Drosophila melanogaster: one gene and its partners. The protein of the gene in region 3 interacts with the protein of the main gene of each other region in a pairwise test. Each region holds a gene or a part of one and is shown on either strand. Other genes may lie near its edges. The genes, in order: CG13044, trv and noc.

What was found.
Region 1: the proteins of noc (region 3) and CG13044 interact in a two-hybrid assay, tested with the Drosophila melanogaster proteins (one large-scale study listed by BioGRID).
Region 2: the proteins of noc (region 3) and trv interact in a two-hybrid assay, tested with the Drosophila melanogaster proteins (one large-scale study listed by BioGRID).

What each region holds. Positions count from the first base shown.
Region 1 is NT_037436.4:16,301,587-16,305,606, reverse strand, and holds CG13044 (uncharacterized protein), read left to right. Parts: upstream 1-2,428; 5' UTR 2,429-2,493; coding exon 2,494-2,505; exon of another isoform or gene 2,506-2,570; coding exon 2,571-3,026; 3' UTR 3,027-3,117; downstream 3,118-4,020. Other genes in the region: CG13043 (uncharacterized protein), read left to right, coding at 1-262; CG43249 (uncharacterized protein), read right to left, coding at 1,017-1,229, 1,287-1,307; CG4982 (uncharacterized protein), read right to left, coding at 3,719-4,020.
Region 2 is NT_033777.3:28,024,173-28,029,828, reverse strand, and holds the start of trv (trivet), read right to left. Parts: upstream 3,215-5,656; 5' UTR 2,959-3,214; intron 1-2,958.
Region 3 is NT_033779.5:14,488,479-14,494,717, forward strand, and holds noc (no ocelli), read left to right. Parts: upstream 1-2,380; 5' UTR 2,381-2,767; coding exon 2,768-2,857; intron 2,858-3,159; coding exon 3,160-4,683; 3' UTR 4,684-5,541; downstream 5,542-6,239. UniProt on the Drosophila melanogaster protein: May negatively regulate Notch-induced cell proliferation in the eye-head primordium. Required for development of the supraesophageal ganglion and ocelli.

The DNA of each region.
Region 1 (4,020 bases), on a different chromosome or scaffold from region 3:
GTCGGTGGTGCACAGTCACGCTCATGTTGTCGAGGATGTCGTTGCTCCCGTGGTGAAGTCCACTCCGGTGGTCAGCTATGCTGCTGCCGCTCCAGTGGTTCACACCTCCTATGCCGCTGCTCCCGTTGTCCACACCAGTTACGCTGCTCCTGCTCCCGTTGTTCACACATCCTACGCCGCCGCCGCTCCCGTTCTGGCCACATCCTACGCCCAAGTGGCCGCCTCCTCGCCGCTGACCTACACCGCCACTGGTGTGTGGTAAATCCATGGCCAGGCCCACTCCGAATCCTACTCCTCTCACTGTTGACAGGTGACCAGGATGCATGTGCATCGCTGGACGGTTTTGTGATACGAATTTTAAATAAATAAATGTTTTGCTTTGAAATCGTGCAAGTTGTTTTCTTCACCCTGCGGGTCATTTATCTTCCTGTAGTTCCTAAAGAGTCTAAACAGATGATAGTAACAAATAGCTTTTATCACTAATATATAGATGAAATATATATACTAATACAAAGGTACTAGAACTGAAAAAGTAAATTAACTGTGGAACTCATTGTTCTTGGTAAATATATAATGAAATTCGGGGCTGATTTACTTTGTCTTGAAATTCAAAATGTTAGGCGAAATGTTGACATTTTGACGTGAATTTAGACTTTTTTTTTAAACATTTTCCGGCGCGTGTGGACTTGGTCTTAGCTCGCTTGGTGTACTAAAAGTGTCCTGGTTCAATGCCCTGTGTCACGTATCTACTTACATCCTGCTGCACCTGTGCCGTGGGTAAATATTGGACACCCATATGTCGGAAAAACGCCACATATGTGGGTGAAAATTAGCTGGGTGACAGCGTGGGCATCCCGCTGGTTGGGAATTGCTGACATTTTCGGGCAGTGAACTCAACGAACCATTAGCCCTCTTCAAGGGCATTTCTAAAAGTCATTGTACCTCTGATTTAAACGTTTTTAATAATACAGGCTAAAAACATTTTAAATCACTTTTTTTACAATTAAAACAATACATTAGTTAAAATGTTTGGTGCGGAAGTGTGTAATCATGGGTATCTCCATCTTTAACTTGGCAGCAAAATCAGCAAGGGGCTGGAAAAACATGGTTAGTGCTCCACTCAATCCGCGATCCACCTCTGTCACGTTCACCTCCCTTCTGACTATCTCGTGGCGGCCATTAACATATCCATTGGTGCAGTGGATGCTCAGAAGGATTAGAACAAATATCTAGAAAGAAATCCATTTAACAGAGTATTTTTATGAATATTTTCTATATTTTCTTACCGCTTTCAACAGGTAATCCATTTGTAGTGTTATCAACGGCGGGTTAAATGCAATCACTGGTGCATTATTAAAATTCTACGCATTTATATACCAAATTCTGTTCAATTCTTCAATACGAGTGTTCTGGATGTTCTGGACAGGTGCAGTCACAATTTTACGGAATAGAAAAATAAACACAGACAGTTTACTTGGAGGAAAGCAACACTTCAGTGGTCGGATTAGGTTTAAAAATGGTCAACAAAACTGTACATATATATCTAAATCCATTTTCTTCCTACAAAAAAGTTTACAAGCAGTACATATATGGCGGGATTTGGCGAAACGTGCCGGGATCTCTAGCGGGATTTCTGGCGGGGCCTTTCGGGCTCCCGCGGGATTTCGGGATAAAAGGTAGAAAGTTGAGATTAAGTATGCAGATTCCAGAGACATATACATTTGTTGACCCACGTTGTAAAAAGACGCCACACCCACAGTTTTGAAAAAACTGTTAAAATTTTCATTTAATAATCAAAGAGGTTGTTGAACTTTCTCGTTCGCATTCCCACTAGCTGATAAGCGGGTATCTAATAGTCGAGTAAATATACTATAGCGTTCTTTCTGTAGCTTTTACTCACTACTGTTTTGAATGACCATTTTAATCAAGCAAAAATCATTGCGAATTCTTGGAATTTAAGTAAATGCGAGTAAGCCAAGCGAAAGTGTTTTCCTGTCATTATAAACTTGGCCTTGAATTGGGTCGGAAGCGATTACGATTGGTTTCCAATTAGAAGTAATCTCGGACCCTTGGTTCTCCCTCCGCACCAGAAATCGATCTTCAGGTGAGTACGTGCGACTAATGAGCTCCGAGTTGTGAAATGAAATCAAGAGTGGGTATGGCAAACAAGTGCGAGGCCGAAAATAAGTGAAGTAATGAGTAGTGGGAAAGGGGCAAACTCGGTTGAGGAGGCGAGCGAGCCGAACAGAAATTGGCCACGAATAATAATCTGGTTTATGGCCAAGACCCGAGACAAGCGGCCAGAATCCGTTCAGGCACGTTCGACTTATGGCTTATTGTATCCGCCTCAATTGACAAAAGCCGGCGAAGTGCGTGTGTGTGTAAAATGTGAAGTTCAAGTATAAAAGACGTTGACAGTCCCTCAGCTCAACACATTCGAAGTCTGTCTCCCTATCCAGCGACACCAGTCGAAGAAGCCAACACCACACCAATATGTTCAAATTGGTAAGGATCGCAGGGATATCCATATGGCACCACTTTGGAATACTAACTCTTATTCTCGTCTCCAGTTCGTTCTCGCTGCTCTTTTGGCCGTGGCCGCCGCCAAGCCCGGTCACCTGGCTGCTGCTCCTCTGGTCTACAGCGCTCCCGCCACCACCACCGTCGTCCAGGAGCCCGTTCTGGCCAAAGTGGGTGCTGTTGTGAAGAGCGTGCCCACCGCCGTGTCCCACCAGAGCCTGACCCAGGTGCACAGCACCCCCGTGGTGGAGGATGTGGTGGCTCCCGTGGTCAAGACCACCGCTGTCCACTCCGCTCCCGTGTTGGCCGCCGCACCCATTGTGAAGACTTTGGCTCCCGTCGCCTACTCTGCTCCTCTGGCCTACTCCGCCCCGGTGGCCTACTCCTCGTATGCCGCTCCTCTGACCTATTCCGCACCGGTGGCCTACTCGGCTCCCCTCTCCTACGCCGCCCCAGCTCCCCTGCTGCACCACGCCCCTCTGACCTACGCCGCTGGCTCCTGGTAATGTGGTGAGGATCGAAAGAGTTTGAACTGTGCCTTTCTAGTTGAAAAAAAATAAGGAAATCGAAAAAAGAATAAATTAAATTGTGAATACCAAACAGATGATGTGAATTTCTTAATGATGTGGGGATATATAAATTAATTCTGAAGTTTACAAAGAAGCGTTCTAAAAAGTGTTCCTACATTTCTGAATGTTTTAAAAACAGAATTAAATTCATTTGAAGTACAAAACTTATTTAACAATGGTATCGATGCACAATAACTAAATACTTCAATAACATTTTGAATAAACCAAAGCTTGAATTTTATTTGTATTTATTTATTTGTTGTCCCAGCAAATAAACAAAAATTTTTTTAATTGAATATTAAATTCAGGTTGTCTTTAAAATCAACAAAATTTAGACTTACTGAAATGTGATTTAAGAGACGCAGTTGCACCCAGCCATATTGGTTTGGTATGTTTTTTGATTATGTACGTTTCCAGAACAAGAACTAATGTTTTCCAATATTACTATATATATTCCAGAGGCTAGTTCACTAAAGCTATCATAGGTACTATGATATTACCTTTACGTCGAACGTTTTTATTTATTGCATATTTGATGTACATTTAAGTTTGCAATACAGAAGAGGTAATATGTTACACATAACCAAAAATGAGATTTTCTGTGGAGAAGGGTTTCTTTGTTCGTTGTTCTACTTCAGATAAATGCTGGGGTAACTGGATACTCCCCAGATTCCCGGCTCGTACCATCCCGCACTGTTGCCCGCGTATCCAAGTGGGGCATACGAGATCGAAGTAGCTGGAGCATAGGCTGCCTTCAGGATGGGCGTGTGATCCACAATGGGGCGCCAGTAGGGACGCTTCTCGTGCACCACTGTGGAACTCTGGTGTGAGACGGCGGCTGGAAGGGCATAACTCTCGTATCCTACGACACTGGGAGCATATTCCACGTGCTCATAGCTGGGCAAGTAGCTGGGGCGAGCCTGGATCAGGA
Region 2 (5,656 bases), on a different chromosome or scaffold from region 3:
GCAGGGGTAACAATAACACGGGAAAAACCGAAAAACTCGAAGGCAAATGCAAGAAAAATTGGCTGGGCCTGTGCCCTTTTTCCTTCTGGCCAGCTCTCATTCCGTTCCCTTTTCCTGGCCAATTTGCATGCCTCTGTCCATAGAGCATTGTTGACTCCGTTGGCTTCGCTTCTTGGAATGTTCCAAAACGCATTTTGGCCAGCAACGAGTCCTTGCCACAGACCAAACAATGGAATATTAGATGTGACAAAACAGGTGCACGTGTCCAGCCATAGTAGCAACTGCCTGTAGCCAAATTTCTGAGCTGGAAGCTTTGCATTCGCCTCAGCCAGTTGGCAATGGCCATGGTTAATTGTCAAACTGCATGCTGGAGGCCATAAATCCCCATTTTACAACATACGTACAGTATCAATCAGAAGTCGATGGGGGTACTTGACAGAGGACTTCTAAAATTGCAGGTCTGAAATGAATACGGGGGTTAATCCTGAGTCCTGGCAATCGGTCAACGATGTGAACAGTTAGTATTGATCTAGGAAGAAGTTCAATTTCGTAAACCATAGGACATAGTGAGTAAAAAATATGCATTTATGCATTTACATTTATTGAAAATAAACAATCAACATAATGGCTATAGCTCGGTTGTTGTTGTTTAGAAACAACAAACAGACTCCGAATCGAACCAGATTATGTCCCGAAATCCGCTCTTGAAACTGACAGGTTTTAACTTTCCATGTTGCGTAGAACGGAAACAAATATCTTAAAAACAAATTTCCATAATTCCATAAATACTTGGCCCGCATAATGAAAAATATTTGCACAACTCAAGATCAAAAGTTTGGTGGCAGAGCCGGAATAGTTTAGTTTCAGGGTTTAGACAAGCAAGACAGCAACTTTCTGATTTTTCTTGCCGGCGATTAAGTTGCTAGCATATGGAAAGTTTGCTTTTTGGCCAACAATTTCCAGCTGTAATCGTGTTCAATTTGTGTGCACAATATCTGGGAAGAAACGCGTGCATATGCAACTATTGTGGCTCTCGCAGCTTAATTACAAAAACCGAAAGGGGTTTAGTCCGAGCACATAATCACTGGCAAGGACACAGACCGACCGCCGAGGTCCTTTGAAAGTATGTTTTGTGGCCCTGTGCTGTCCGTGAGATGTACAAAGCTGGAAGTACAAAGAAACTTACAAAAAGAATTTGGTAGCATCAAAGCAAAAATTTTTAATGAATTTCTTGCCGGCCAACAGAGCCGTAAGCCTGCAAAACGCACCATACGCAAATGCAAAAGGCGCAAAAAGGACGTGGAACCCCAGTCCAAAGCCCCCAGCCCCGTATGTATCCCCTCGTTTCCTGGGAACGGGAATGCAGGGTCAAAGGTCCGGCCAGGACCGGCACCACTTCATCTTCCCTTTTGGCCGCTGGCCCCGGCAATCGTGTTGCTCGTCGGTGGCCTTAATTAAATTTAAATATTTTATCACCGAAAAATTGCCAGGCGGCAGCAACTGCGCAACAACAACGGCAACGGCGGCAGGAGCAGCAGGACATGAAAAGGGTGCAAATGTGTGAGTGGGTGGGTGGGTGTGTGTGCGCCTGAGTGCAGACAGCCGAAAAATACTGATGTGGGTGTATTTTTCATTATTTGCCCAGCGCTGCAATTTTTTTTTGTTTTGCGCCCCACATGCTCGCCCTTGCCATCGCCGCACTTCATATTCAATTGTGTTGAATAATTGCCATACGGTTTTTTGACCAACGGTTTTTGACACTTTCCTAAAAGGACACACGCGCCCTCAAGTGCTCCGCCCACAAACACACATTCACACACACGCACACACACACAAACTCAAGAGCCGCCCTCATGCCACATTTGAAGTTCGTTTTCCCTTTTTCTTCCCAGCGACCGAAAAGTGAGCAAAACACTCGACCAACAGGGGGGGAAAACTCAGAGGACCTCTGGACACACACACACAAACAGACCAACAACAGGCAGCAGAACAGCAACAACAATTATAAAAGGAACTGGGTACAAAAACAAAACATGCCAAAAGCGTTTTTTGAAATATCTTTGTAAATATTTAAAATGTTCTGTACATGCGGGTGCTTCAATCAAACCGAATCGCCAATGGCAGGGGACGCGAAGAAATGGCCAGGATGGGGGTCCTGGAAAAGGTCCTGGGACAGGGACCAAGGCTATTGTGCGCCGGGCACAGGCCGGGACAAGTTTTAAATAGTTTTTGTTGGCAAATGTCAAAATGCAATTTGATATTCATAAATTAATGAAGCGCCATTGCAACAAAAAACCTCTCCTGGATTATAAAGTTTTTACATAAATTATGTGGTTGGGCTTTTGAGGGAAGGGTTGTGATTTAAATCTGGCATTTAAATGTGTAATCCTCGGCTGATTATAAATGCATTAGAACGGAACGGAAAATTGGAAATTCTTTCCAAATTCCATTGAGCTACCATTTGAATTTTGAAATATTGTAGTAAGGGTTACGTTAAAGTAATTAAAATACACTTCAGTGAAGAGGGCTTGTTAGAATAATTCCTTTTTAATACATTTCAGTTCGAAATTTCTGGAAAATTACCAAGTATTCCCTTAATTAAAAAAATTAACAAAAAATTTAATGTAAATTTTTAGTTGATTTATATAAGTAATAGCACGACGACAGAAGTTTTCTATATATTTGTTCAATGCATTGAAGGAATTAAAAAAAGTTTATTTCTGGATTCTCGTGAAAAAGATCTCAAAAAGGAGTGTAGCATCTCAGAATCCCACAAGATATTTATCTGACTTAAGGATCTGTTTTCTTGTACACATGCGCACCCTTTGAACCGCTGTTGTCATTTGCGGCTACTAAAAAAAAATGTAAACAAGGTCAGAACACGTAGCACAATAAAGAGAGCGACTGCCTTCTACTCACACTCTCCCTCTCTTCCGCCAAAATGCAGTGCTCACTTACACTAGTGCAGGTCCTGGCAGGACACCGCCCGAATGGCCCACTTTTCGATGGCTTGTATCGAATTTTTATACTTCGGCACAACAAAACTCGCGACTCGGAGAGGCAGGAACACAAATCAGGATGAGTATGGGAAAAACGAGTAAGCGGACGCGCACGTGGTAGCCGTGAAAACCGGGAAGTCAGGAAGGATATCCTTTCCAAGACATTAACGATTAGTTCTGAGCGAAAAGCAGCGCCTCGTGTCGACGAATTGACACTGAAGAGCCCAGTCGCCAAAGTCGGCGTCCAGCAGTTTCAGTAGCTTTTGAAGTGGCAGCGCTGCACCACCACCGAAAAAAAGAAGAAGAAGGCGACCCATCACACACACACACACACACACACGTGTGCCACCAATACAGGGTACGTAAGGCGAGCCAACCCAAGCAGCGGAATAAAGGCGAACGGCTCTTCTCTGTGGTTGACATTATCGCATGCAACTAAATCACACGCACACACACACACAGCTGCAGGTGCACCCACCCCTCGTCCTTTTTGCACCGCCCTTCGTGCGCTCATTCGCTCGTGCAACGTGGCGTATGGGTAACAATGGAGAGTGGCTCACACACACAGTCACTAACACACGGCTATCTGCCTTAGCGCCATTTATGGCATTTGATATGCTAATTTGCACATATTCATAGAGAGAGCTAGATAGAAGGAGAGAGAGAGAGAGCCAAGGACATCCACCACCAGGACGCAAAGGTGCGAGTATGACCATCTGCTGAACGAGGCCGGCTCATCACCAACTCCATCGTCCTGCTGCCTTGCTCCTGGCCAAGTGCCTCACGAGTATCTCTGTTTTGATGGCTCTTCAGTGCGCCCGTGTTCTGAGTGGCAGCGGGTTAAGTTGCCTGATGAGCTGCACTTTGTCATACGGACACACTCTGGGAGTTCCTTAATTATTTACAGCTCAAGGCGAGAATATGATTTTGCACCAGCATACGAAATCGAGATACTTTTTCGAATAATATTAAGTGATTTTAAAAACATTTTTAATTATCAAATATTTTAAGTAATTGATTTGGTATTCGCGTGCATCTTTGAACTAAAACAAATACCTAATTAAAATCTCTAGCCATTAAAGGATTTTTGGCTTACCATCTACTAGTATTTTATGTTTCTTACCTATTAACAAGTTTATATTCTACTAAGTGTAGCGCACTTTCCGAATTCGTTGAAGTCCTTCGGCTGCATCCACCACCGAGGAGCAGCACCACGTTTTCGTGAGCTCTCTCAACTCTCCGCATGCTGCAAGGATTCTCACCAATACCAATGCACTCGCAGCCTGCATGTACGACACAGAGGCGGAGTCTGAACGCTGGTCATGTAAAAGTCACAAAGCCTTATGTATCCAAAGGGGAGGCGCCATCGAACAAGAGTATATAGTCGCTCCAGAGCTTTAGTATTTCACAGAAATGACAAAATGGCGGACGATTTACGCGTATAAAGGTTCGAAAAAGATCAGTTCCGGTGAAAACCCCCTGGTAAATCGACGCCTCTGCTCTTTGTTTACGAGTTGTTTTGCGGGCGAGAAGCAATACAACAACAGGCTGGCGGCGAAAATGCGATACAAGTCACGAAGAGCCGCTCACCGAGAGCGAAAGTTAGTGCTCCTTGTATCGCAATTTTCCTCGGTTCGCTCTCGGCTGCAGAACTGCGATACAAGCCAGCAACAACTGTGGTATGAGCACGTGGCATCCTGTTGAGCCTGACCAAAGGAATCAGCTGACAGGACTCGGTAGAGCACCTGACACCTGCTAGCCGGCATCGACGACATCCTGGCAGGCCGATGGTCAAACCGGCGTCCAGTTTGACACTTTCCGGACATTATCTTTCGCTGGTCAGAGGGGCACATGTGACACAATCCAACGATGGCATCGTTGGCCCAAAACTTTGTCATCCATCCCGGCAAGAAAGCCATGAATATTACTGCGACTTTATCGGTGGCAGACAGTCTCCTCCTTGCTTCTTTGGCAAATTATGCAAATTTCAGATTTCCCAAGTAAACATTTACTTTACTTTTCAGCGCAGACAGCGTGGCCCGGCGGCGCTTAAACCTCCGACTTGCAATCTCCATCGTTCCTTTCGGCCATTTGACATTTGTTAAGTTTTCTTATCGCGCGCTTTCATTAGCGACCGTCGTCTGGTTCGGCCAGAGACCTTCTAATTGTCTTGCAAATTAGTCCGCCAGTGACGAAAAAATGCGACCCCCAGAGATGCGGGAAATCCCAAACCAGAACCCGCCGTTTATTTACCCATCGAACGACCGGAATGAGGAGCATGTGGCATCTGCTTGAAGGAAATGAAAAGTAAACAAAGCTGCTGCCGTGCCACATTTGGCGGCATGTGAGCGGGCCAACCCCCGTAATTTTTGAATGGCGATTTCCGTTGAGCACGAGGACGTGCTTCTGTCGAGGATTAGCCTCCCAGACACGGCAGCTGGCGAGCACCGTCACCGTGTCCGGCGGAAACGCACAACAGACACGGCCCACTCCGGCGTATTTTTATAGACTTTTTCACTTAATCCCCGCACAGAACCATAACACAGACCTAACGCCAATCGATTAACTGCCAAGTGGAAGGCTTTAAAGTGGCTTTAACTAAAGTCTGCCGGCTTGATGTACGACCAGAAGTTTATCTTGAATATTTCATGAGCTAT
Region 3 (6,239 bases):
GCATCCAGTATACTTCCTTTTTATATTCCCCATATAAATGTTTTCGCGGCTACAAATTTTTCCCACTACATTTGGATATCTCTCGGCGCTTTCCTTTACAACTTTGGCGAAGATATCGAGAGTATTCGAATTCGAAACTCCTTATAGTTGCATAAAACGAGATTTTTAGTCTTAAAGGACTCTGATGCACTATATAACTAGAAGCTCAATATAGTTTTTTATTTCAGATCTTATTATTGTTAACCTAATAGAACTGCTGCATCTTTAACTGCGTACCTTGTAATTTAAATTACGCTTTTTTTTATATTTGTAATCTTCGCTACACGACCTCCTTTTGAATAAAATGAAGTTATCAACGCTGAAATGCTGCAGGGTGAGCATTAGTCTGAAAGCAAATCGCTTTAGTCACGGTATCAAGGTGTTCCGCACTTCCGCTTGGCAATTTCTTCGGCTTCGTGTAATTTATAATATTTTTGTATTATTTATATGACACCCCCGGCCACTGGTTTGAATTTACCTTCAGCCCACTCCCGCAATTTGCTAGTAAATAATTCACATACAGGAGCAGCGAATTTATGACGCTGACAAAGTGGCCATAAAAAATAACAAATAATAAGAGAAAATGCTATGGAACGTGTGCGTAAACTCTCCAACTCTGCAGCAGTATACATGCATATATACACGTATATACATTATTTTGGCAACACTTTTTTCGCTTTGTTGCACGCAAAACCGCAAATTATGTCTAAGCCGTATCGTAAAGTATCGCAGCACGCTCTTAACTAATAAATCCATCATTTCGCCGAAGGCCGAGAGTGTTTCCTCTACCTGTTTTAGCCTCGAAGGTATTTCGCTGCCGGGTTTCGGCTTAGGGATTCCCACAGAAAAATGTCTAAACACTCTAAATCGGGATTAAAAGTGTCGCTTCTGGGTTTTCGGCTTATCGTCCATATTTATACAGATTTTAATTTACTTGCCAGGGGCTTTGAAGGGTTCTTAAAACTCAGCTTGGTGATTAGGTAACATATCCCAAGGGCCAGATATTCCAAAATCCCCTCGGGGCTTGAGTTAAACATCTTGATACATAGTTTATGGTTAGTCCAACCGATTTGGTTGGGATTACGTTGGAGTTTTAATATCGGTTAGGTAAAGTGGCTAGAATGATCTAGATCAACAAAATCTAAATGATTAGTCACATAATATTTTCTAACTACTTAAATAATAGTAATCAATTATGTTTAGAAGGAGCTAGCCTATTATTAGCTCTTAATAATTTAATATAAATCAGCCTCGTTTTGCAATTAAACATTATTAGTATTCAGTAATTATCTTGAAACCAAGCAACGTGATTAACGCGATTTCGTGCGAAACGTAAATAAGTAAGTTAGGCAAGTGCTAACTGGAAAATTCAATCCAATTGTAGAGCGATTAAAAATGCAGCGGAGTTAACCAAACCATTAAACTATTACCAACTCTCTGAGTGCAACATGCCACAACACACATTCGCTTGTTTGATATGTGCAGATTAATTACACACACACCAAGGAAGGAGGAAAAATTGCTTGGAAAAACTTTTCGACGCGACAACAAAACAACGATTTCCACTTAAACAGCAAAACAGGAGCCACGAAAAAAAAGAGGGAAAACCAACCGCAGAAGTTAATCGAAAAACGCTAAACAAAGGCCACAACAACAGCTGTGCGAGTGAGCGGGTCAGAGGGAGAGAGGTGAAGTGCCAGAGCGGGAGAGCGACAAACAAATTAATTTTTATATGACATTAAAACGAGCGAAGCGAGGCGATGGAAATGGTTGAAGAGTGTGTTTAAGTGTTGAGTGGTTTGCTTTTCCGAGCAACAAATCTCGGTGCGAAGACAATGAGGCCTCTGCCGCGCCGCTGCCGCCACCACTGCAGCGCTGCTGCTGCTGACAGCCCCATCAAGAAAAAGTTCCCCCAGAGAGACACAGAGAGGGAGAGTGAGCGTGACATATGTGCCAAGATAAAATTAATGTGCCCCCCAAAGCAGCCACAACAACAACAACTCACTGAGCGGCGCTCTCAGCGCTCAACTGTTGCTCTCTGGACGAGTGTTGCCGTGGTGCAGCCATATTATTATGATTTTACAGGAAGCCAAATCGGAGAGCGAGAGAGAGAAAACCTGTCTTGGCTTCCATTGCAAGGCGCATGCGATTGTGATTGGACAAAAAGTACGCCATATTTGAAAATTACGCACAGTGCATCTCGCTCGCATGCAGCAGGCGGTGCTCCTCTAACGCAGGCAGCAAGCCAAAGTGTGCAGCGCTGCTCGCCGGAGAGCGCTCTCTCGCGAGTGAGCGAACGCTTCGCTGCGAGGGCAGTTACGCTCGCTGCCGCAGTCGTTGAATTCAATTCGAATTTTGACTTCGCAGCGTTCAGACGTGTTCGGAAAAACCTGAAAACCATTCGAGTGACAAGAGATATAACCAACAAAAATAAGAAACCTCAGTCAACTGTGGTCACTGATCGAGAGTGTTTCGTTTCGAGTGAAAAAGTGAAATCAGAGCCAAAACACAAATCGCTTGGCCAGCAAATTGAAATAGTGCTACAGAGATAAATTCTCTGCTCAAAACTACAAGTGTGTTAAATCGCCGATTTTCTTTGGATTTACCAACGTTTGCCGACGCATTTCTGTGGATTAACCTCATCGTCGCCGAAGCAAAGCTACGCATTTGTAGCCTTGTCTCGCAACTCACGTGGATTACCCTCGAGAAAACACACTAAGCAACTGATATGGTTGTCTTGGAAGGAGGCGGCGGCGTTGTTACCATCGGTAACAACCAGTACCTTCAACCGGATTATCTGGCCCCATTGCCAACGACGGTTAGTATTGACTAAGTTAAAAGCTGTAAAATTTTGGGATGGCCGTAAAATCTATGGTTTTAAATTTTGCGTACTTAAGAATTAAATTTGGAAAGTTCATAACATCAAACAATTTTTCAAATCTAAAAATTTATATCGTCATTAATACTTTCACGAACAAACTTTCTTTGGAAGAAATTGCATTTTCTCATAGTTTTAACTTCTCACCAAATTAAAATCAATATTATCTTAAAACTCGTAAAAAACTTTAAAATTACAAAAAACCTAATTCCAACTCCACATTTTCATTTTATTCATAACAGATGGACGCCAAAAAGAGTCCCTTGGCTCTGCTCGCACAGACTTGCTCCCAAATTGGAGCGGATTCGTCGGCAGTGAAACCCCTGCTGGCAATGGACAAGAACAAGACAAAGCCCGGAGCATGCTCCTCGTCGTCGAACTCGTCGAGTTCCTCGGGCAGTGCTGAGATCTCGGCAGCCAAGTCACCCTCCGGCCAGGCCAAATCGCCCAAGTCGAGCACTCCAATCAGCTCGACGGCAACCAGCGCAAGTCTGAGTAATACCAGCACCGGTGAAATCAAACTGGCCTTCAAGCCCTACGAGACCAATGTGCTGAGCCACCAGAACCAGAACTCCTTCAAGAGCAGCTCTTCGCTGGATGCGGAACCCACGCGTCCCAGCTCTAAGAACTCCTCATCCGCCCAGGAGCGTGTGCCATCGCGCAGCAAATCAAATGCCACGCCCACAGATGGCGGCAAGGCGGAGATTTCCGCGCACGATTCCTCATCCAGCCGAAAGACTGTCTCCCCGTCGGGATCGTCGCAACGCGGCGCCAGTCCCATTGTGCGCTCCGGCATGGAGGTGCTGAACAATGCCAACGGAACCGCCCAGCATCCCAAGGAAATGAGCAGCATGGCTGCGGCGGCAGCAGCAGCAGCAGCGGCTTACAAGGCCGCCGGACCCTATGGGCTGAATCCCCTGTCCGCCCTGTGCTGCCCGCCCGGAATGGAGCAGCACGCCAATCCCGCTTTCCGGCCACCGTTTGCCGGAGGATTCTCACACCATCACGCCGCCATGTTGGCAGTTGCCGCCAATGGAGGATATCCAGGCGGAGCTCCCGGCGGTGGACCAGCCGGACAGCCCAATCCGTACATAAGTTATCAGCGCATCAAGACACCAGCTGGCGGCGAGGCTATAGTGCCAGTCTGCAAGGATCCGTATTGCCAGGGATGTCCCTACTCGGCGCACACGCAACAAATGCTCATGGGTGCCCCCTGCCCCGCCGGATGCACCCAGTGCGAGCATCAGAAATACGGCCTGGCCATGGCCAGTGCCGCCGGACTGCCACCAGCTCATCCATACTCGCAGGCAGCGGCCGCTGCTGCGGCAAACGCGGCGGCAGCCCGTTCGGCACCCTACGTGTGCAGTTGGGTGGTGGGCGATGCCTACTGCGGCAAGCGATTCCAGACCTCCGACGAGCTCTTCTCCCACCTGCGCACCCATACGGGCAATCTCTCCGATCCGGCGGCTGCTGCGGCGGCCTTGGCCCAATCGCAGGCTCAATCCCTGCTGGGAACCCTATTTCCGCCATCGGCTCTCCGAGCTGGCTATCCAACACCACCACTGAGTCCCATGTCAGCGGCTGCGGCAGCGGCGAGGTATCATCCATACGCCAAGCCACCACCAGGCGCCTTGGCTGGAGGACCTTCGCCCTTCGGCGCCGCTGGAGCATTCAATCCTGCCGCGGCGGCTGCGGCAGCTGCTCTGGGACCCTACTACTCGCCATACGCCATGTACGGCCAGAGGATGGGAGCGGCTCATCAGTAAAGTGACTTCCACAAGAGTTAAATACCAAAAAAAAGGGGATTACGTTGAAGAGACAACCAGAGATATAGAATGAAACCATTTCCAAACCCTGTTTGAGATACTTTCATGGAAAACAAAAAAGATAAAAGCACAAAACGATTGCAAAGGCTGACACATCTCTGGCTTTTGCGCTATTCTGTGATACTAAACTGTAGTTTAAAGAGCGCTAGTTACACTTAAGTTTCGCAAACAGAAAATAATCAACCACCTAAAGAACAGTAGTAGCCGCAAAAATAGCAGGATCACTCTCTTCTATCATCGTAAATGTCTACATTGTTAGGTAAAAAGAAGTGCAGCCAACACGAAGTTCACTCACTCTTATTTGTTCTCAAAGTTCAACCAAAGTTTTTTAAGTCTTAGCCAGAACACATTCTACAACTTCCAATTTTGTTAATGAAGAACCCATTGCTGAGATGTTCAAACATTGTTTTAGTTTAACTTCGCTTTAAGTTCTATTAACTATTATTACGATTATCTGCAAGCATACAACAAACCAACAATTGAAATAATGTTCTTTAAGTCAACTTATATTTAAAGTAAGTGTAATGAATATTTGTAATACCAACCAATCAGAGATAAAAAATTAAAAAAAAATAATAATAATTACGAAAAATAAAAATGAATATTTCATATAATTATGTACTGTGTGTAAATTCTATAAATATAAACTAGATTTGCTATTTACTCCTTGATGTACGCAAACCACAATACGATCTACACAAGAAGCCACGGAATATCAAACAAAAATAACTTAAACTACATGCAACACATTCGTATAAAACTGAGAAATATACAAGAAAAAACAATTTTTAGAAGCATAAACCACGAATCTTTTCTTTTGAAACAAACTCTTTTACAGCTGGAAAACTTTTTGTTGGGCCATAATTTCGCTTCGGTTATCTGCGCTGTTTGGCTAGCTCACATATGGGTCATAAATATTGCTGATAATGCTCCACTAGGTTTTCAATTATATTTACATAAGGCTGAGTGGCAAATTCCGGAAACCATAACAAGGTCTAATTCTCTTAATTTTATAGTTCTTACTTAGAAATGGGACTAAAGGAGTTTTTAATTCTGAGAATTGAACTGCTTCTTATAAGTATCATTGATATTAAATGTAAGGTTCTAGGCAAATAAATAAATAAAATCTTATAGGTTATTCTTTAAAAATATTTTAATTAGTTTTATTTTAGACAAAAGGTATTTTAATGTGCTCTCAATTTTTTCTGGATGCACTCGAAGAAATCTGGGTTTCCCCATCTCACCTAACACATTTGAAATTCAAATTAGTACTATTAATTTGCATTGCTTGTTGCATTTTAAGCGCACTCAATTTGTATGCAGCGATTCGTATTCAGCCTAAAAAATCAAATCAAAAGCAAATTTCAATTTCACGAGGGGTGGGGTAAATAACTTGATTGGGCAAGCCTTAATAAAACAGTCGCCGGCAACAGTCATAAAACACCCAAGCTGAAAATTAAAAATCAATAAAAATCACATTTGTACCAACAATGTGT